Astyanax mexicanus: one gene and its partners. The protein of the gene in region 2 purifies or fractionates together with the protein of the main gene of each other region. This does not show direct contact. Links are inferred from orthologs where the notes say so. Each region holds a gene or a part of one and is shown on either strand. Other genes may lie near its edges. The genes, in order: mrtfab, srfb and myocd.

The links.
Region 1: the proteins of srfb (region 2) and mrtfab purify together in Homo sapiens (affinity purification with western blotting; 4 studies listed by BioGRID and IntAct, with this or other methods). This does not show direct contact. The link is inferred for Astyanax mexicanus from reciprocal best matches to the Homo sapiens genes SRF and MRTFA.
Region 3: the proteins of srfb (region 2) and myocd purify together in Homo sapiens (affinity purification with western blotting; 3 studies listed by BioGRID and IntAct, with this or other methods). This does not show direct contact. The link is inferred for Astyanax mexicanus from reciprocal best matches to the Homo sapiens genes SRF and MYOCD.

The regions. Positions count from the first base shown.
Region 1 is NC_064422.1:28,595,355-28,602,546, forward strand, and holds the start of mrtfab (myocardin related transcription factor Ab), read right to left. Parts: upstream 3,065-7,192; 5' UTR 2,528-3,064; coding exon 2,398-2,527; intron 1-2,397. UniProt on the Homo sapiens protein: Transcription coactivator that associates with the serum response factor (SRF) transcription factor to control expression of genes regulating the cytoskeleton during development, morphogenesis and cell migration.
Region 2 is NC_064414.1:39,389,263-39,396,702, reverse strand, and holds the start of srfb (serum response factor b), read right to left. Parts: upstream 3,104-7,440; 5' UTR 2,612-3,103; coding exon 1,988-2,611; intron 1-1,987. UniProt on the Homo sapiens protein: SRF is a transcription factor that binds to the serum response element (SRE), a short sequence of dyad symmetry located 300 bp to the 5' of the site of transcription initiation of some genes (such as FOS).
Region 3 is NC_064422.1:27,232,799-27,239,754, reverse strand, and holds the start of myocd (myocardin), read right to left. Parts: upstream 3,067-6,956; 5' UTR 2,796-3,066; intron 1-2,795. UniProt on the Homo sapiens protein: Smooth muscle cells (SM) and cardiac muscle cells-specific transcriptional factor which uses the canonical single or multiple CArG boxes DNA sequence. Acts as a cofactor of serum response factor (SRF) with the potential to modulate SRF-target genes.

The DNA of each region.
Region 1 (7,192 bases), on a different chromosome or scaffold from region 2:
CACATTTAAGTAGCCAAAATTACAAATGTATTTTACAAAAAAATTTTATGTTTGTCCTATGGAAACAGGAGTCAACTACAATTTTTTTAAGCAAAAAAATTAAGACATTTATACCCATAATGTGTATTTATTTGTCATGCATGTCTAAGTCTGCACAAATTGCAAAACAATCCTGCTTGAACGCACACCTTGTGTTTAAAGATTTCATGTTTTTGAAAGGGCAATACTTCGGCAAAACTCAGAGAAAAGCTGTTGCACAAATTGTTGGGGTCCTGTTGTGTTCTGAATTTTGCAGTTAGACATGTGTTTATTAATGCTATTGGACTATCCAAAGATAGTCCTATACACAATGATGTGTGTTTACACACAGACAGAAAAATGTCATCATGTGTAGTAAGCTTCAGTACTAAAAAAAAAAATCTGTTTTATTTTAATGTTTTGTAATTGTATAACATATGGTGTTGCTCAGCTTGTATGTCTTTAAAATGTGCTCAACTCATTTCCTCCTTACACAGAATAGTCATATTTTGAACTCAGGTCAACATTGAGTATGACTCACATTTGTTCTCCAACACATCGTTAAGGACTGTCTTAGAATAGACTAAAGAGCATTCATTAGAAGCAGTGTTGCTCTCGGAAACAGACTGATCAAAGAGATTAATCATGCAATCATGCTTTACTTAATGCGTAGATATACTTGTGTATATTTTTATGTAACTTTCATTTTTCTAATTTAGCTTTGTAGCATCACTGCAACTAATTTGGACACCAAATATGCTTTTCTTGACCAACTATACTTGGTAGGTAGGTTAGCATCATTTCATTGGTTGTCGACTAGCAACAAAACACAGTCTTCCTTGCTCTGGCAAGCCTGCTGCTGCTGCTCTTTGTGAAATCCTCAGTCAGAGCACACCTGTCACCCTGCAGAAATGACATCATTATGGGCATCCTGGTGCTGCAGGGTTCACTGGTCAGCTGTTCTGACCTTCATGGGCACAGTGTATGGGGATTAGTGCTGGGCTTTATGGAGCAAATGCACCATTCACTCTCTCCACTGTGTGTTTGCAGACACAAACACCCACACAAACGCACACTTCCACACGTGGCACACAATGCCAGACATGCCAAAACTTGCCAAAGGACATGTTTAGCACAACTGACTGGCACGGATGGGAATTCCGGGTATGTGAATCCCACCCTCTCACCTCGTTCTGAACCGGTTCATACACAGCCCCCTCTTCCACTCTCCCTTGTGAAGTGAATGCTTTTGTTGGTTCCACTGTTACTCTGTGTCATCTAAATTCCTCTCATTCCCACTTTAACTACAGCCTTTGAAAACTCAAAACGCCCCCTCCACCTCCCTTTACCACTATTTCTGTCCCCAGTGCACCACTGAGGAAACACAACCCCCCCACCCCACACCTCTCTGAGAACCTGGGAGCATTACTGTAAATCAAACAGACACCTTAAACGCCAGCTCTCTCTCTCTGCTTACATTAAGAACCGGGAGAGCTAAGTACAGAGTTAATGGAGGCCAGAGAGTGCTGTACTTCAATATCTACAGCAACTTGCCCTTTTGAGTTAAAGAGATGGAGAGTGGAGAGTTCCAAGTCACAGCGGCCAACTGGGTTAATCCCTGAGCCTACCAGTTGGTGGGTTCAATTAAACATGTCTCTTGTCCCCAAAGACCCTACACCGGGTGCATCCTGAAGGCCAACCTGGTTCCACACTTTTAAGTGTCTATCAGAGGATAGACATCATCCCTAAAACCCACCAAGCTCGGGGTCAGCATGCCAAAATTTACTTAAAATTGATTTCCCAGAAAGGAGTTAAGCCTAGTCCTAGACTAGATTGTCCTTTCAATGGAAAATCTCCAATGAAAATGCTGTGTTAGGAAAGGGCAGCTTTGAGCTGAAACTGTTTAGTCGTTATAAACAACGTATTTTACAGGATTATTGCCCTCTTATTAATCATACGTAGACCCATCACAATATTTATGTTATTAATTTATCTTACAACATGTGGCCATGAACTAAAGTTAAAATCTGCCAAATTGTTTTTCTTAGCGATGAGACCCTATTAACATGAATGAGCAGACATGGTGATTACATTTATTATATTATCATGATTTTAGTGGCATAAATGCTCATAAAACAATAATATAATTATTTATATTATATTTATATTGTCCACACACATAATATTGTGGACAATATAAATTGTTACTGTAAGATAACTAATGAAAGAATGAATGAAGTAGAGGAATTAAGAGTGAGCCAACATATGATCCCATGCAGTTTAATATGACAGGCTTATTATCTATAGACAGCCTTAATCCATATTTAGATCCTGCTCAAATAATGAATGTTTGTTGTGGATGTAATGCTTTGGGCCCACCTTCTTTAAGGCTATGATAGGCATGTCGGTCATAGTCCAGCCTCATAGGCTGCTTATCTCGATCAGCTCTGGTTGGTGGATCCTCGAAAGAGGACGCATCAATGTGAAGGCAATGGTTGGTGTCCAGCATGACTGAATCCAGAACTGACTGAAGGAAGATAAGATAATGATCCCAAGTTATTGTCTCAATTCAGCACGAAGGCTTATAGGTAGTATCCCAGATGTTTTTTTTTCTGAGCTTAGAAAATCGGTCTCATTTGCAGATGATCAAAGGTGGTACTTCTCCATAATGGCTGGAATTATTCAGAAGGAGAGCAATATTTCCTCAATTGAGCACCTACGAAGTTCACGCAATAAAGAGCACACAGCCTCCGCTCCTTCTGTCTGCTCAAAAGGTGCGCTTCTACTTGCTTCCACTTCTTTTCTCCTTTGTCTTTTCTCTTTCTCCTGCAGCTGTAGAGTAAATGGTAAATCTCCAAAACGAACAAGGAACCTCAACCCGTAGATCCAGGAAACTGGTGAAGGTACCCAGCAGCAGGAGCAGCAGCAGCAGGGAGAATGGGACTAGTGCTGTGCTTGAAGCAAGACAAACATGCACCATCCCCTCTCTCTCCCAACACACACCCACACACACACGGAGGCAGGCAGACGAAGAGCTGCTGAGTGCCAATGACTGCACTGTCTGCCTCAGCTGTTGCCACTCGTTCACTCATTACAATCTGCAGACCCTCACACTCTCCCTCAGCTCCATTACAGCAGCACAAACTAAAGCACCCGCTCAAGTGTTGCATACAAAATACAAGGACCAGGGCCAAAACTATTAATGAAACTTTATGTGGTCATATTATTTACTAGAAAAAAAATAACAGCACAGGCATATAAAAAGTCTAAACAAATCAAACAGTACATTTCCTGTTTCAAATATTTAAGGCCTGTTCATATTTCAAGATGCATTTATAGGCTGAGATCTTTTTTCGGCCTAGATTATTTCTCATAATATACAGTCAGGATGGACAGGCTAGTTTTACAGTAGTATAAACTTGACTATCTGTCTTGGATTACAAGTGGTTCGCATCTCAAAGCAAAACTTCTGCATTTAAATAAAAAATTAAGCATCGCAAACTTCAACAATTATAAGCCTAAATAATATCTATTATGGTGGGTTTTATTTGTTTTCATTTTTTAAGGCCTTTGGTCTGAACTTGCATCAAAACCTGTTCAGCCAGGGAAAATGTCACATTTGACTATAAAACTGTTAATCAGTCAATTGTCCAATTACATTGGAACTATATAGAATTGTGGAATTACTTTAAAACGTTTATGTAATTCCAAAAGGGTTAAAACAGCTGTTATAACTGAAGATGCTTACCTAGCGCTAAAACTTGATCACATTTTCATTTACAGTACATGATTTCTTTGCTTTTCCAACTCTATCTGTATTTACTTTTTGTTAGAATTTGCTAGCTCTGCTGTGTTCGCAAACTTACTGTATGGTCTGAATGATGTACTCTTAAGAGGAATATCCAGTTACTGGCGTTAAATATTGTACTCTGATTTCTCTGATAAGCGTATTAAACTACATGTTCATACATATGTACACAAATAGGAGTTTATAATAATAAATACAAAAAACCTGACAAACACCCAAGATACCTCCTTCAGAGCTGCTGCTGCAACCCATACTTTGCAAATATGACCAAATGTACCATTCACACTATGACTGCAATGAATACATGAATACATGAATACAAACAATGCCTTTATGCATTGTTTGGTTTATTATGAGATAACATCCTCACATGTTTGTCAACACATACCATGTATTTTTACCCGGTTCTGATTTTATTATAGCACCCATTTGGGCAGTCAGCTGTCCTGACAAATCAAACAAATACAACAGTTGTCAGTCAGGTGGCCCCTTCCTGTCAAAGCAGTCCATTGCTAGCCATGCTCACAAAACTCACACTCTGATAATGGTCCTTGGTAAAGCTTTTAAAACTAATGCATCAACAAATGAGAAAGGATTAACAAAAAGGATGTCGGTAAAAGAATGGAAAACTCCTTTGACCTTTCTGTATCTGGTTGGGGGCAAGGTACAGGAGTTTAGGGGGGACATTTATAGCTTTTGACAAGCTCACTTGTATACCCTAACCTCGATCCTCTGAGTGGCTCTTGCAGAATGCTGGCGAGGTCAACCCTGGCCCCCCCTCTTGGGTCCTCTCCCAGTTTTAAATAGTAAGGCCAGCTGGCCAAAAAGCTCTATATTCAGCTCAGCTTCACCTGTGCAGGCACTGGATAGAATTACTGACAGATATCGCTGCACTAAGGCACCAACAATTATGATGACACAAACATTTGCACCAACAAACACAAAAAAAATGACATTTCAAATTGCAGAAATATAGACAGGTAGAGGAACGTATCATATCATGGACATTCATTTTTCATCATCATAAGTTGCACTTCTGCATAGTGGCAGAACACCCTGAGGTGCTTTCCTGCCACACATGAACTGAAATTGAGAAAACCAGATTACTTTGAAATGGGTACCTTCCAATGAATGGAAGTAAACATGAAAAGAAGCAAAGACATAGGAAACCTGTGAAAGCCAGTTCTTTTGTACAACCATTAGATCCAAAGCTGATAGTAGCCTGATAGAACCACATTTGTTACAACTTACTGTGGATTCTCAGCGAAGGAGAGCTTTTTATTTAGTATGAATTAAACATAAAGCAGCAATAGTTTTGCTGAAATGGTTTCATGCTAACAAAAAAAATCGAAAGCTCACAGGCATTTTTAGATGCAAGAGTGACCCCACAGGAAGTGCAACACCGCCTACAAATAAGCCCACATCCACCCACAAGCTTCAAGACGCCACCTTAACCAAACAGAGTCCTACAGAGGAAACAAGACCAAAGTCCACTCGACCCAGACATTTACAGATGAATAACTATGAAATGACAGACTGTAAGTACACACACCATGTCTCAAAGTTTGTTGACACCCCTATGAATTAATGCTTTCCGCTACTTTATGTTGCTTCCATTGCTAACACGAATGTTCACATGCACAACTTCTCTATTCACTGTAAAGATGTGTTGCCAAAAAGTGTTACTGAAAAACATGTAGATAATCATGTTTTTTTTATTCACACCATGCCTAATGCCAGACATGGGCTAGAGGTGCATCCAACAATCTGACCTCACTAAAGCTTTCGTCAGTGAATGCAAACAAATCCTCACAGCAATGCTCCAAAATGCAGTAGGAAGACTTCCCTAGATAGTATTGACTGTTAGTCCAAAAAAAGCAGGATACACTCTTTACATCTATGTTTTACTCTCTCGCTCGCACTCGCGGTGTCTCTCGCTCGCACTCGCGGTGTCTCTCGCTCGCACTCGCGGTGTCTCTCGCTCGCACTCGCTCCGTCTCCCTCTCTCTCTCTAGCACTCTACACTGAGATAATATAATACAGTAAGTCAGAAGTAAGTCAGAAGTAAACCACGCTACACTATTATTACTGTCTCCCTCCCAAAAAAACAGGGAACTACCAGCATTTAAATAAATGAATAGTGATTAGAATTGTTTTTAAGTGATTGACACCATTAAAAAAATTAATTGAATCTGATGCTGATATTTCTTAATAACAACTCTTTAATTCTAAAATGCATCCAGCCATATGCTTAGAGAAAAGATTTATAGTTTTAGCAGTTAAAAAAGTAAGGCTGTTGTTTTTGTTCTTAATAAAACACCACAAACATACTTATTGTTTTCGTTCAAACAAGATCCAGAAAGATTGAGCCTCTCCTGGTGACAGTATTAGAATGATATTATTCCTAAAGGCTATTTAATAAATACACTGTGTGAGAATAATTATTGCTTTTTGTATTTTTGGTTTCAATTTAGAAAAAGTTTTGTTTGAGTATCAGTATCAAAGAATTTTACGATACGCAGCCCTAACAATAAATAAGTGTCCTTATACTTCTGTTAACAATGTTTGCGCACCTTACTGTTTGCCAATATGAGTAATGCAATGGGTGTATTATGAATTATAATGGTCACTACCGTACTGATTTCCCAGGTAAACAAGCAAATCATGAACTAGGTGAGCCCACAGGTACATTACATTTGCATTGATTGGTCTCATAAATATGGCATAATAAAAAAAATGATTGAACATGCAAATCAGCACCAACAGAATTGTGATGAATTACTAAAATACAAACACACATAATAAGCTTTACAATGAAATGACCGACTTTAGTTATCACTTTGAATGTGAGGTCATGTGATGTACCGTCATATATATATATATATATATATATATATATATATATATATATATATATATATATATATATATATATATATATATATTCTGCTGTTCCCACAAGGGTGTCAATTTAGTGGTGTTAAAATTTTTACTTGACTTCCCACACTTAGCACGTTATTTTTTTTTACACATTTTTTTTAACAAGTGGCTTTTGCGAAGCTGAGTCAGATATGGTTTATAAAAAAATATATAACATTTTGACATTTAAACCTCGTCACACCATGCACTTTGTGTTGCATTTATTTTTCACCGGAAGCCGATTCTGTTTGTCTTAATTTAGTAATACAAGGTGGAAATGTCATTGTCTGTTTATGTCTGTAGTTTCTGCTTATTAATAACTATTGTTATTTAGTTTTCCATCACGAAAAGCAACAGAACACTGGTTCAGCACTGTGTGAAGCACATGCATATAAAGGGGAGTCAGAATTTGCCAGAGCACCAGCAGCTTGACAAATTAACAGAATA
Region 2 (7,440 bases):
TTTCTTGAAAGGTGCTTTAGAAACAGTATTGTATTGTATACAGAATTGTATTTTTTGCCTAAAAGTGCACAGTACTGGACTGAACATACTGTACTTTGTGTACATTTGTGCTGCTGTATTAAAATTGCTGATAAACATTTACAAAGGAATGTAACACTTGTTTACAGAAGCTTACAAAATGATTATTAAAATTCCATTTGATATATTGGTCAAATCTTAGCATCTCTGCATCTATAAGATAAAGATTATTAACAAAAACAATGGAAAGTTTAAACTTATTCTATACCATAAACATAACAAGAGTACTGCAACACTTCAACAGTTTTTACTTAAAATCTACTTTTACTTACAATCTTATTACTATCAGCACATCCAATACAAGGGACTTACATTTTAAAGTGTCTTTATTCATTCAGTATGCAAAGTGCTCTTGAGAAACAGCCATAGTAAAAGGCAGGAGATCTGGTAGAGGGCTAAGTGGTGGTTTAATATAATTTATTAATAATAATAATAATAATAATAATAATAATAATAATAATAATAATAACATTTCTATAGCCTACTCTTGAGAAAGGGGTTGCATGCCCACTGGGCCATGCTTCTCACACGTGGCCCACATGTGGATTTAAAAAAATCTTAATTAGACAGGCAAATGAATGATTAAACAAAATTGTGTTCTTTTTTCTATGTATGCATTTTACTGTTTTAGCTATTGCCTATTCTAAATAACTTCCACTAATTTCACTGCACTCACTGTACCATTCCATGGTATATGTACTGATGTAGACTGAGCAAGTTTCTTGTTTATAGTGTAATACACTTGAAGGAGTGTCCAATCACAGATCAGTCCCCTGACCCATACCAGGCCTATGGGAAAGAAAGCAGATGTGGAGTTATCTTCAGTGTATTGGTACTGAGCCAATGACCTGTTACAGTGAGCCTGCACAGGTCACCTGCAATATACTGAAATATGGCCTTCAATTTCCCTTGTTTCTTAAAGCCCTAGAGCTTTATTTTTCTTAGAAGTAAGTAACTGTGTATGGATTAATGTTCTAACAGGCTAGTCAGAGACTAAACTCCAGCCATACCTTGCCAAAGCACATACGAGGAACAATGCAATGGCAACTATTCCGAAATTGCATTCTGAAATATTTGGGTTAAGCTCCATTGATGAAGGATACTCTTCATGTAGGCCAAACCCTGAGCGTGTGTGTGTTTTTTTGAAGAAGGGTGGCGGTGGTCAGAAATAGAGAATGTCAGTTGCTCTAATCTATTTAAAGCTCACAGCCAGTGGGGTCTGTTGTGACTTCCAGTCACCATGTGCCAGAGGAGAGGACATGCAATACTGCAGTCCTCATTACAGCAGAAAGCGAGGGAGAGAGAGAAAACATTAGAGATGAGAAAAATTGCAGTGGAATGACAAAAGTCCAAAAGTCACTTTCTTTAAGACAGTTTGTTTACATCCATAGTTATATACAGAGGTTATATGAATGAATTGAGCAGTTTTTGGGGCATTTTGTTATGCATTATTGTTTGGGCACTGCTACTTCAAGCACATGTGGAGCTCACATGGGTGAAAGGCGGGACAGGTGGGTTTTAGGTAGGCATGGGGTGGTTTGTATTGCATGTGGTTTTACAGGGACCCCGTTGAGCTTCCCATATGAGCCAAATCATTACTGCCCACTTTAGACTTAGTCTTACATGGGTCTCAACTTTGACCCTGATGGGGCCCAACACTGACATTTATATGTGGGACCAACATGAAACCCATAAACCAAAGTTTCTGGTTTACAGTTGGGATATTTCCCTACCCATTCAGGCCCCACGTGTGCGTGTTATCCGTGATCCCAGGTGAATGATGTAGGTTATTATGTATTAAAATTAAACAACACTCCTAGTAGAACTTGCACTGATGTTGGGTGAGTTACTTACTAAATAAAGACATTCGGTGTGTAAATGGGGAAACTGTCCAAACAGAAAAGCTCACCTTTTTCATGATGCCCGTCTTTCTTTTGCTGAAAGTTGTGTATCGCCGCAACTTGTTGTCTATGAACTCCATCTTAATCTTAACGCGTCCACGTGTTTTCTTGCCTGGCTTTGCTCCAGCAACTCCGCCGGCCACCACACCGTAACCCCCCGGGGGCACGCCAGCCTCCTGGCCGGGCATGGCACTTTCCATTTCGGCCCTTTCCCGCTTCACCCCCCTCCGGCTGTCTCCAGCCATGGGTTCGTCGTCGTCCCCAGAATCGGAGTCCGCGTCGGAGGCGCTGCACCCCTGTGGACCCCCTTCTTTATCCCGGTCAAACCGACCGGGGATCCCCACTAACCCTGCGCCCAGAGCCCCTAAGCCCACCTGTGCGCTGAGCCCGCCGCCACCGCCGTTCCCGGCTCTGACGCCGCCTCTCCCGGGCCCGTTTCCCCCCAGCATTCCCACGGGAGCCCCTCCGAATGCAGCGACGTTCACCCCGGCTACAGTCTGAGCGCCTGTCCGCGCGAGTCCCGGCCGAAGCCCGCTGCTGCCCACCACCACAGCCCCGTGTACCACCGCCGCGCTGTTCCCTGACGCTGACCCGTTTCCACTCAACGCCGAGCCAGCCTGGCTGGATAACATCCTACACCGGGGGAAAGAAACACCGCTACCGAACGCTACAGCTACCAGAACCCCAGTCAGTCAGTCTGCGGTGGGCGAGTGTGTGGTCAAGCCGTACTGCGGGCACATTCAACACAAACCCAAACAAACACACGCAGCGCAGCAGCAGCACAGCCCCTCACTCTCTCGGAATGAGCCGGGAAAGCCTGAGTGACTGCCGGAGCGAAGTTTCCAAACTGATGCTGCCCCTCCAAACCCCCTCAACCCGCTACAGCCTCGCGCCGCTCTCACCCCCCCGCTTTCCACAACTCACCGCGCACTCTCTCTAAAAGGAAAACACGAAGCGCGCCCCCGCGATTAATCCGCCATGTCATGTAGTTCACACCGCAAACCTGTAAAATGTCGACCGCGGGCCGCTTAAACACACCACCCTCACAGGCCTGTCCCACCGCCCCTAAAAACACACGTTCTTACGCAAAACCGTAAACGTTTATGCATTTATTTCTCTAATATTATTCTCCGGCTGTGGAAGAATCTGTCCGTGCAGAGCTATCGGATCTACTTTCCTCCATATAAAGAGATACAACGCTTCCTTATAAGGAGTTCTCTCTCCTTATTTGGCGAGTCACAGTGACGCCCTCCGATTGGTCCGTGAGGGTAAGTCTCAGCACGCCATTGGTCAAAGCGCCTTGCTCATTTGAATACATACCAAAACGGTTGCGCTCACGGCGACGTCATCGAGGAGGCAGAGGGAGGGAGACCCCACTTACTCTGCTGGGCATAAATTATTTTGGAATATGAATGACACACACGTGCAGTGTGAAGTAAATAAGCTCATCCAGAGAACAAAATTGCAATTTCTAACAATTTAACACACAAGTATTTTTTGTAACCCCCATGCCAATATAATAAAGACAATTTTCAGCAAGTTCATTTTATGGGTCTTTTTTTTAATAACTAGGCCTGCCACAATAATTGTTGTGGACAATATATTGTCCCAGACGTTATAACGAGAAACAACATTACTGACATTTTAAGACAATTGAAATCTCACTGCCATAATGATAATATAATAGAATAACACAGCAATACGACAAAAAATGTCATTTAAATCATAGTTTGGAAAATATATACTTTTTTCAGTCACAGTTATTGAAGCATTGGTCATTGAATTACAATACTATTTTATAGGTCAACAAACACAAATAAACGATACACCATTGTCAAAGGTTTTGTCCATTTATTGAACAATAAGTCAATGATGTATTGTTGTGACAGGCCTACTAACAACCACTTAATTGTATATGTGAAGTGCATCTGTGATTTTGAATAGCCACTAAAGATTATTTAAACTCACGAATAGGCAAAAATATATTATAGTAATATATTGTAACTTTTTATTAATTGTTTATTTAGTATGCTTAGTCACCAATTACAGTACCAGTCAAATGTTTGGACTTTCTCATTTAATGTTTTTCTTTATTTGTATTATTTTCTACATTGTAGATTAAAATTGAAGACATCAAATCTATAAAGGAACACATATGCAATTATGATAATTATTATTATTATTATTATTATTATTATTATTATTATTATTATTATTATTATTATTCTCACAGTCCACTTAATGGGGTACAACCTGGAATGGGAACTGTCTACTACCCAATTGCGTGTGTGTTCCTTCATAGTTTAAGTCTTTAATATTAATCTTCAATGTAGTAAATAATGTTAATAAAGAACAAATATTAATGAGAATGCTTGGTTCTGGTTCTGTATATATTACCCATTTTTTAATAATCAGTTATATACATTTGGTAGGTATTAGATTGCACTTTCTGAAGCCAACATCAGGCCAACATAAGCTGACCATCAAACAGGTTTACAGCCAAAGTAAGCACACAGTCAAACACCGATTGACACCCGTCTATAGTTCATCAATAATGATAAACCCAATGATAAAGCCAACATAGGCCCACCATTAAACACACCGGATGACACAAGCCCACTTATCACACCCAAATTCACACCAATGTATGTTCACCATCAAGCACTAGTTGGCACCTATCATCACGCCACCTATCATCACGCCTACCATGATACATTGGTTGACACCCAATATCACACTTAAGTTGGTCCACCATTAAGCACCAATTGACATCTAACATCAGGCCAAAACGTACCTGGCCCAACATGATTTGCAAACATAACATGCTATCTGTGCACTTTCACAACCTTTGACACAACTCCAATAGACTACAGCAGTAGTGCATCTAGTTCCCATGGTAACTGTTATAAAGATGCAGTAGGTTAAGATAACAGCTACAAAAGTGGAGTGCAAAATTCATGGAATACTTGATTAAGAGACTTGATTTAGTGCTGTAAATTAATGTATATCTTTTTGCCTCTCAAAACAAAAGAAAAACAAAAAAACTCACTCAAAACCCCTATTTTGAATGTGAAGTGACAGGGCAGGCTCGGTGTAAAGCAGACCAAAACATCTTGTAATGGCCTATACTGGACTCATTTTATCACCACTCATTAAATTTTTATCCAACACTTATAAATAACCACAACAATTATATACCTACTTAAGTCATTAGCCCACATTAGAATACTAACAAGCTTGTGCAGCAGTGAGTAAACAAGCAAATCACCCTGACATTTATTTTAATTGATTGAAGGCAATTTTCATACTGGAGGGGTTCATTAAAGATGCACTAGACTGGAAAACTGTATTTACCTAAAAACAAAGCTATGCTACTCTGTGTCTACTCTCTGTGGCTCCAGTGTGCTGTAAACCTGCCAATTAAAGCAGAACTCATCTTTTTTTTTTGAGTCCTCTGAAAAAAGAAAATCAGTGTGACTAATTTTGAGAAAAGAACAGGGTTTTAATGGCCATTTAAACCACATCTGAGCATGTTTCATCCCAAACAAAGACATATATTTAGCTACTATTTTTACATCAAATAACAAATTAACATACATAAAAAATTAATCCATGGCAGATTTAATGTTCTTAGCATTGAGGCATCCCTGCTGAACAATTCTGCTAACGATCAGGGTGTGTTTGCTGAACTGAAAAGCTGATCAGACAGGTAAAACATTCACTATGATAATTAACAAGGTGGTAATTCAGCATTTGATCAGCACAGTGTATGATGCCTTTGATTTTGGTCAGGGATATACAGTTAGACAACCAGAAAGAGCAAGCTTAACTATGCTGGTTGACCAAGACTAAGACCATCAGATTGTAGACCAGTTAACCATCAACTTTAAACAAAAATACACCCTATGCTGGTCAGGATCTAAGCTGGTCATCTTGCATAACTAAAAAAATAATATGCTGCTATTAAAAAAAAAAAAAAAAACTAAAATTTGTCAGATAAGTGACAAGATTTTATGACCCCCAAAAACATGATGGTTAAATATATAGCTTATATGTGCGTCTTAATGTAATCTATATTTTATTAACATTTATTCCACATGCAAAAGCCTTAAAAGGAAGCTTGAACATCCTTCTGATTGTACACCCTGCACGGTGAAATAAAAGAAAGGCAAGGCCGCATTAACAGAGAACAAAAGACAGACCTAACACAAAATGCATTATTCAGTCTTAGGTGAGAGGGAGGAACACTTGAAGTGCTGAGTGTGAGAGCACACGGCTGGATGTCTTTTCACGGCAAAAGACGTAGGACTCACGAAGCGCTCCCACATCAGCAAAGAACACCTACTGATGACTCAGCTGACAGCAGGAGTAAAAGCTGTCGAGCACACGACCAGCCTTTTATGGTGGGAACCAGATAATGTCACATGAAGAGAGCCTGTGATATAAGTGCAATAATAATGAAGGAGGTCCTGCCTCCAGCTGCAGCTAGTATGAAACCGGCTATGTCCAAATAAAGCACTAAAAGCATTCCACAGTAAAGCATTAGTGATTTTGGAGACTTGACAAAAACAACTGAATAGTTGATTAGGAGCCTAATATCCACTGATTAGCCTAACAACCCCGGACAGGACACAATCCAGCTCACACAATATAGCGCCCTCTACTGATCAGATCAGAGCAATGCAGCAGTCATGTATCTGGTTCTAGTGTTCAAATCCAAATTGTTTTACCAGTAATAGAGATATAGGGATGGACTGGGACCATAAAACAGCACTGGACTTTTTCCTCTAAATAGGCTCGCCAGCTGTCTGGGGGCTATTGTTGTTTTATACACACACACACACACACACACACAGTATGTGATGGGATCTAGGAAAACCCTTCACACTGCGCACTGGCACATGTCTGGAAAAGAGAGAAAATGTGTTGAAAGGCAATATTTTTAGTTAATAAATTGGGTTTTTATTAAATTGTTACTCAATAACATCATGTCTGTCATCTAATCGAAATATGCTTGATTGACATTAAAAAGTTGAGTTTTTTTTATTATTGTTATTCTTTTTGGAACACCAGACCTTAAACCTGTTTTTAAACCTCAATTACATTTTTTAAACTCTTGTGATCAGCCAACTTTGGTTGATTACAGCATTTGATACAAAAAAGACAAAAAAAAAAAAACGATTTGAAATGAGCTTGAAATAGGGTGTCAGGTGAAATCAGAATTTCTCTTAGGTCTATTCCGTGTAAAAATTAGCCTGCTTTATATGTTTTTCATTTGTTTTATATGCTGCACTTTTGTTAGGGTATATATTAACCCTCAAAAACAGGCCTAAAACTAGTCTATTAAGAAATTACACAAACAACGCTGCTGTGATTGATTATGATACAAATCAACTTTAATAAAAATCAGCCTTTTAACAACAGCGAAGTTTGTTTGTACCGGTAGCTTATTTAGAATTAA
Region 3 (6,956 bases), on a different chromosome or scaffold from region 2:
GTAAAAAAAACTAAAACAAAACAGAAATGTGAAAAGAAGATTACATTACACTACATTACACTAACATTCACTGAAACACTTTTGCATTCTTCATACACCTCTTCTGCATTCTTTTAGCGCACGTAAACACACGTATCACGTGTACACTGATGTTGCCTGTAGTGTATTCTTTCACCAAAATATTTACTGCATATCTGGAGGAAGCAAAGTTGTCGTCCGACCACAAACAGATGTTTAATGAGCTTACTGCTTATCCAAGCAAATGATTTCAAACCACAAAGAGAAAAATACTTATTCCTCACGTTAACAACTACGTCAAACTCTACACAATCCAGAAATCGCATTTGCATAAACGTAACATCAGCCAGGATCCTAATGCTGGACACAGACAGGCCACCAGACGGTCAGCTGGACGGTGTGGAGAAAGAACATGACCACGCTCAGCCATGCAAATGTAAAATGCTCTAAAGCATTTCTTTACAGAGGTGAAATTATTTGATATGAACTCAATCCGTGTTAATCCCCGTCATAAAAGCAACTGCCATGCGGAATCTATAATGACAACTTAAAGCATTAAGTGCACAGCAGCAGAATAAACTTATTACACTCTGCTGATGTTTGCTAGACTTATCTTCATCTCACCTCTTCCCTTTGATGCTTTAGTCCAGGTTTCCTGACCACAAAACCTAGCATCTCCAACAAAGTACATTAGGTACATGCCCTTATGAGGCACAAGGCTTTTGTTGATAAAAATATAATAATAAAGAAAACTGTAATCAGATTAGAGGACTTAGGCTTTGTTCATATTACAAGCCACATTGGACAAATCCGATTTTTTGCTCAGATTGGATTTGGCTATCTGGACGGTTCACATTCACAAATGTGAGGCGTTTCAGAGACAGATTTGTTCACATTACACACAGATACAGGTCACTTTCATGTGCACACATATACGTGTATAAACGTTGCCTTCTTCACCACCAACAAAAAAAAATACACATTTGAGAGACGACTTGTAGCTTTATAAGGTGAAATGGATGTGTTAGCAGCTCATATGTGGAGCACCTTTTGTTGGAGTGGAGAGAAAACAGCTGGTCTGAAGTGAATACTCAGGTTGAGGAGGTGAGGTGAGGCCAGGTGGTTTGCTTTTGCTGTTTTTTGCAGCTATAGCTGCACAGCTGCACCAAGAGATGTGTAGATACGAGAGAAGCACATAGAGCATGCGTAAAAGCAAAAAGACACATGCATTCCAATTTGACCGTTTACATTCATGTTGCATGTCCATGTTTTCGATATGTATCCGACTTAAGACCACATATGAAAGTGCCTAAAAAAATAAACATAAATAAATCGGATTTGGCACGTTCACACAGCCATGAAAAAATCAGATCTGAGCCACATTGAGCAAAAAATTTGATTTGATTCACTTCAGCCTGATAATGTGAATGTAGCATAAGTCTTAAAAGGCTGACAGCATCAGTTAAAAGTATAGATCTCCTCTTGGAGACCACAGTCTGACACCAATATTTACATGTAAACTAATAATTAAAAAACAATATTGTGTTTTTCTTTTAAATAGATACAGTATTGCCAAACAAAATATCATCATATATATATGGTATGATACACTGTTTGTTACAACCATAAGAGGTGGGAGAAGCATATATAGACTGTATTTAAGTGAAGGTATGGACACAAATAATAAACTGCTTAATTAAAGCTAAAATAGCCAAAATATAATTCAGTAAAGCTTAAACAGTATATGCGTGTACCTATGCTCAATCCAGAATCACTTATTTTTACTACAACTAACCCTTGTACAAATCTTTGCAAAGATCTGTAAACATACGTTAAAAAAGTGCATGTTTAAATATGAAAAATGAAGTCAAAATGATATTGTTAATGTGCTACATGATCTAAACTAATGAGTCCACCTGGTCTTAAACCTGCACAACAAACACCTTTAATAACCCTTAAGAAATTAATTCAAAATTTGCTCCAGAAACTTTGTCTGAATAAATGCGTATTTTAAAAACACAGAAATCCATACATGATTTTTAAAATGCAAAAAAAAAAAAAAAAAAAAAAAAAAGAAATACAAAAATATCTCGTCATTTGAGATTTGTTCTAAATATTTAAAGATCTAAATTATTATGATTTTTTATTGTTCAAATCTATATTTAAAAATGCTCTAGAATAAAAAGGTTGGGTAAATGAGTAAATCAAACTATCAGCTATCATTACAATGACCGGATAAGGAATGACAGCCAATCAGAGCAATCGCTGCTGCAGGTATCTATGCTGAGGGAAAAAGCGAGGCTATGCTAGGCCTAGGCTAGGATTTGTTATGCAGCCCATTAAAGTTTGCATTGATGGGAACCAGTAAAGGAAAATGAGCATGTAGCACGTCTCTCACGATAATTACAGTACCGATTTATCATACAATATATGGAAATAACCTTGACTTCTGTATGTCAAATTATGTTTTTTCTTAGCAATGATAGTCTATTAACACAAACAATGGGTCGATTTCAATGTCAGATTTTGTAACAAATTAATGCTATTATATTAGAATTTTAATAATTGTAATACAACTGTCTCAAAATCTCAATAATATCGTTTATCTCAATTATTTTTTGTACTTTATTACCTACAAACAAATACAGTTATTATGTCAGAACTACTTACCATTTCTAAATCAAAGAACAACATAAAATATTCAACATTAAAGACAATCTTAAGCAAGAAAGCAGAACTAGGCTAACAGAGTTAGCGGAGTGATACAAATGTCCTACCTGAGAAGTTTCATCTAAACTGGGCAGTGCTGAGGATCATCTCTTCACAGATAGACGCTCAGGGAGTTGGTGTGTTGCTTTTTGGTTGAAGGTCTGATAACGCCTTTCTTCTTCAACTCGTTTTTCACCCAGACTGAGGTTACTGAGACTCCCAGTTGTTCTCGGACACGTCAGAGCAGCAAATGTTTTCAGCGCTTTTGTTGGAAGGACTTCAGCCATGTCAGTGTGAATCCCTCATTATTAAGAAATCATCTGGGAAATTATTGTAGTGGATGAAGAATCATTTCTGTAGAAAGAGATAAGAGAAAACAATGTTTTAATATCTTAAGGAATAATCTGAATACTGTACACCTCTGGAAAACCTTTTATGTTTTGAAACAATAGCAATATTTATCTTCCACAGTATCAATTCTGACTATTCTGACCATATTAGTGTTTTCCTGTTATCTATTTCTATTATACACACACATGCTGCTTCCCTTTAGTATATTGGGTCCACCCTCTTTGCTCATCCTGCAGTTTAGAATGTAATAGAGCTTTCAGAGGAAATCTTCAGATCTTTACTGAAGCATAAAACCATAAAAAATACACAAAGTAAAATGATACAACAATCAGCCGTTACGATAAATTTAAGTTTAAGGTGCATTTATTTTATTTTTTTTACTTTTTTACTTTTTTTAAGTTTAACTTTAAGGGAATATGCATTATCAGTTACATTAATACAAAAAATAGCAAGATGAAATTACTGAAATTTGTATTGATTGCGAAAATATAAATATAGATGTTTATATAATACATACGTTTAATTAATTTATAAAATACATAGTTTAATTTAACAGTTTCTCCACAAAATTGCAGATAGAAGCACTCATAGCTTTGTTGTGCACCATTTAAAAATAAGTGAAATACATCCAGCAAAAACCAAGCACATGTTTGGAGACCCCTAAAAAATGATGAGTTTCTTTGATTTTACCAAATTGAAAACCTTTGGAATATAATCAAGAGGAAGGTGGATGATCACAAGCCATCAAACCAAGCTGAACTGCTTGAATTTTTACACCAGGAGTGGCATAAAATTATCCAAAAGCAGTGTGTAAGACTGGTGGAGGAGAACACGCCATGATGCATGAAAACTGTGATTAAAACAGGGTTATTGATTTCTGAACTCTTAAAACTTTATGAATATTAACTTGTTTTCTTTGCATTAATTGAGATCTGCTAATATTTTCTGCAAATAAATGCTCTAAATGACACTATTTTTAGAGAAATGATGTCCGTAGTTTATTGAATAAAACAACAATGTTCAATTTACTCAAACATATACCTATAAATAGAAAAATCAGAAAAACTGATTCAGAAACTGAAGTGGTCTCTTCATTTTTTTCAGAGCTCTACAATAAAAATATCATATTTTTTTGTATCCTCAAATCCCCAAAACTTACCAACTGTTGCTTTAAAGTGCATCTTCATTGTCTATTGTCTATAGTATGTTTGCAAAACTCACAGAAAGGTTGTTTTTTAGATACATTTAAATTGTTGGGGTAATGATGTGGTCTGAATTTTACAGTTAAAACTACATTATTTTTAAGCTACTGGTATATCTGCAGCTAGTGCACATCTGCATGCGCAGTATTGTCAGAATAATCCTAGCTTTGTTTTTAGTCCTAACTTGGCACTTTTGTATATTTCCAGATATGTTCTCTGCATTGCAGAAATCATAGAGCCCGTCTTATTGTAAAGCCTGGCGTTTCAGATTCAGCGGCTGTGTTCTCATGCCTTCCCAGACACACGTTTAAGTTCAGATGAGTAATTGTAATGCACTGTCTGGCTCTGTGACATTTCTGTTACACAGGCTTTACATGCTAAACAAACTGTTGTAGTCTGCAAGTCTTAAATCAACAGAGCTGCACACAATGCACACTCAAGCTCAACATGGGTAAAACAGATGTTTAGCCATTTGCATAAGCAGAATGATACATCATTACCACAGCGCTGAAGGGAAAAGGCAGAACTTTCCAAACACGATTTAAGAACAAAATGTGCATGACTGATTGACCACTGATAATGCCAAAACGCTCTAAACAGATATACAAACAAACTGTAGCGTGCAACTTACTACGAGCGGAACCTCGCTGGCCAGGAGAGTCTGCAGTTTGTGGGTTATCTTAGCCTGAATACTGGACCAGGGGCATGATGCACGCATTTGTGTGTGTGTGTTTTGTTTGAGTGTATTTTGTGTGAGAGTGTGTGTGTATTTGTGTGTGCATTCAGAGTGTATGATAAAGAGGAAATGTCAGTGTTGTGTGTGACAGAGTGAAGAGGGAAGTGGTAAAATGACACTCGCTTCATCACTGTCAGAGTGCAGGCTTTACAGATGCATGCAAATAAACACAAATACACTTTACTTGCTTTAAATATTAATTAAAACAGTCAATACAGGTGCCCATATATTTCACTGTGAAAAGAAAACAAATGCTGATAATGAAGGTTCACGCATTCAATATAAAATGTAGCTAAAAGATTGTTGCTTATGTGGGCCAATAAGCTAATTAATTGAACAGTTTGCTAGTCTGGTCCATGTCTTTAGTCTGTATGGTCTTAGTGGGAAATGTAATTGTATGACTGTAGACATACAGAAAGATTTTTAACAACCTGGTAGGTTGAAGGGCAGGGACGCCTTCAGAGAGAGAGAGTGAGAGAGAGAGAGAGAGAGAGAGAGAGAGAGAGAGAGAGACTTCCTCCTATACTGCCCACCAGACCTGTACATTCAGCAGTTTAATAAGATCGATCCTGCATTCCCATCTCTATCCGATAGTGATAAACTCGGAGTTGTTCTCAGAGAAGAAGCTTTTACAGCTATTACAACTATTTACAGGGTTATAGATTCTTATTAATTTATAATTTTTTTATATCTATGTAACTGTATGACGTACTTTTATATGTAAGGTATGTTAACGTATATATTTTAAATATATTGTTATTTTTTACCTTTTGCATATTAAGTATTTGTTTCATTGCTTTGACAGAAAAATGCAAATAAAGCTATTTTAAATAAAAAAAAAAATTGAGAGAGATAAGAGAGAGAGAGAGAGAGAGAGAGAGAGAGAGAGAGAGAGAGAGAGAGAGAGAGAGAGAGAGAGAGAGATGTAGGTATAAAAACAGCATGTGGTTTTCCATTGCCTTGTTGAAAAAGCATGAACATCCCCGGTATCTATATCTTAAAGATCTCAATGTACTTTTCTGCATCTCAGAATACTATATACTTGATGTCACCTCTAGAAATGGTTAGAATAAGTTTTAACCATTAGATTCATAAATAATTGTACTCTTCACTCTTTCATATGTAGATCAAAAAATATTTATAATATTGTTAAATAATTCTGCATAAAATTGTATAGGAATTAAATGCAGGTCATTTTTGTCCCACCTATGGAAGCTTGGTAATAAAAAATCTAGTGGCATGATATCAATAATATGTTGTTAAGGAATACCTGGAATATTAAATGAAAATAACTTTTCAATATGATTCATAGTCATTATTCACAATAAAACAACTTGTGCAATTAATGGTTTAGCAGCATTTGTTAATGTAGATCTATATTTTAGTGCTTGATAAATGTTTGTATGGTGGCCAAGAAAGCCCAAACGCACTGCAAATTGAAAAGAGCTGCAAGAGCACAAAATATATCCATCAAATTGACAACACAGGCACTGCAAATACAGCCAAAACACAACAGAAGTGCGACACAACACAACAGAATTTCTCCAGGGGGCCCTAAAAGTAACATCTCGGATTTCGCTGTGTGTTCAGAGGACTATTAGTGGCAACCGAACTTCTGAAAAATAAGTTATGTTTGTTAACAGTGATTACCACGGTTCTATGCATAGTAAAAGGGCTGCTTCACTGAATGTTAATAAAGATGTAGTTTAGGAGTACAGCATCTTTTAGGGTCCCCTCGGGAAATTCTGTTGTGTTGTGTCTCACTTCCATTTTGTTTTGGCTGTATTTCTCTGTTTGCAGTGCCTGCGTTGTCAATTTGATGGATGTATTTTGTGCAGCTCTTTTCAATTTGCAGTGCGTATGATCCTTCTTGGCCACCGTACAAACATTTGTCAAGCACTAAAATATAGAGTTACATTAACAAATGCTGCTTATGCATT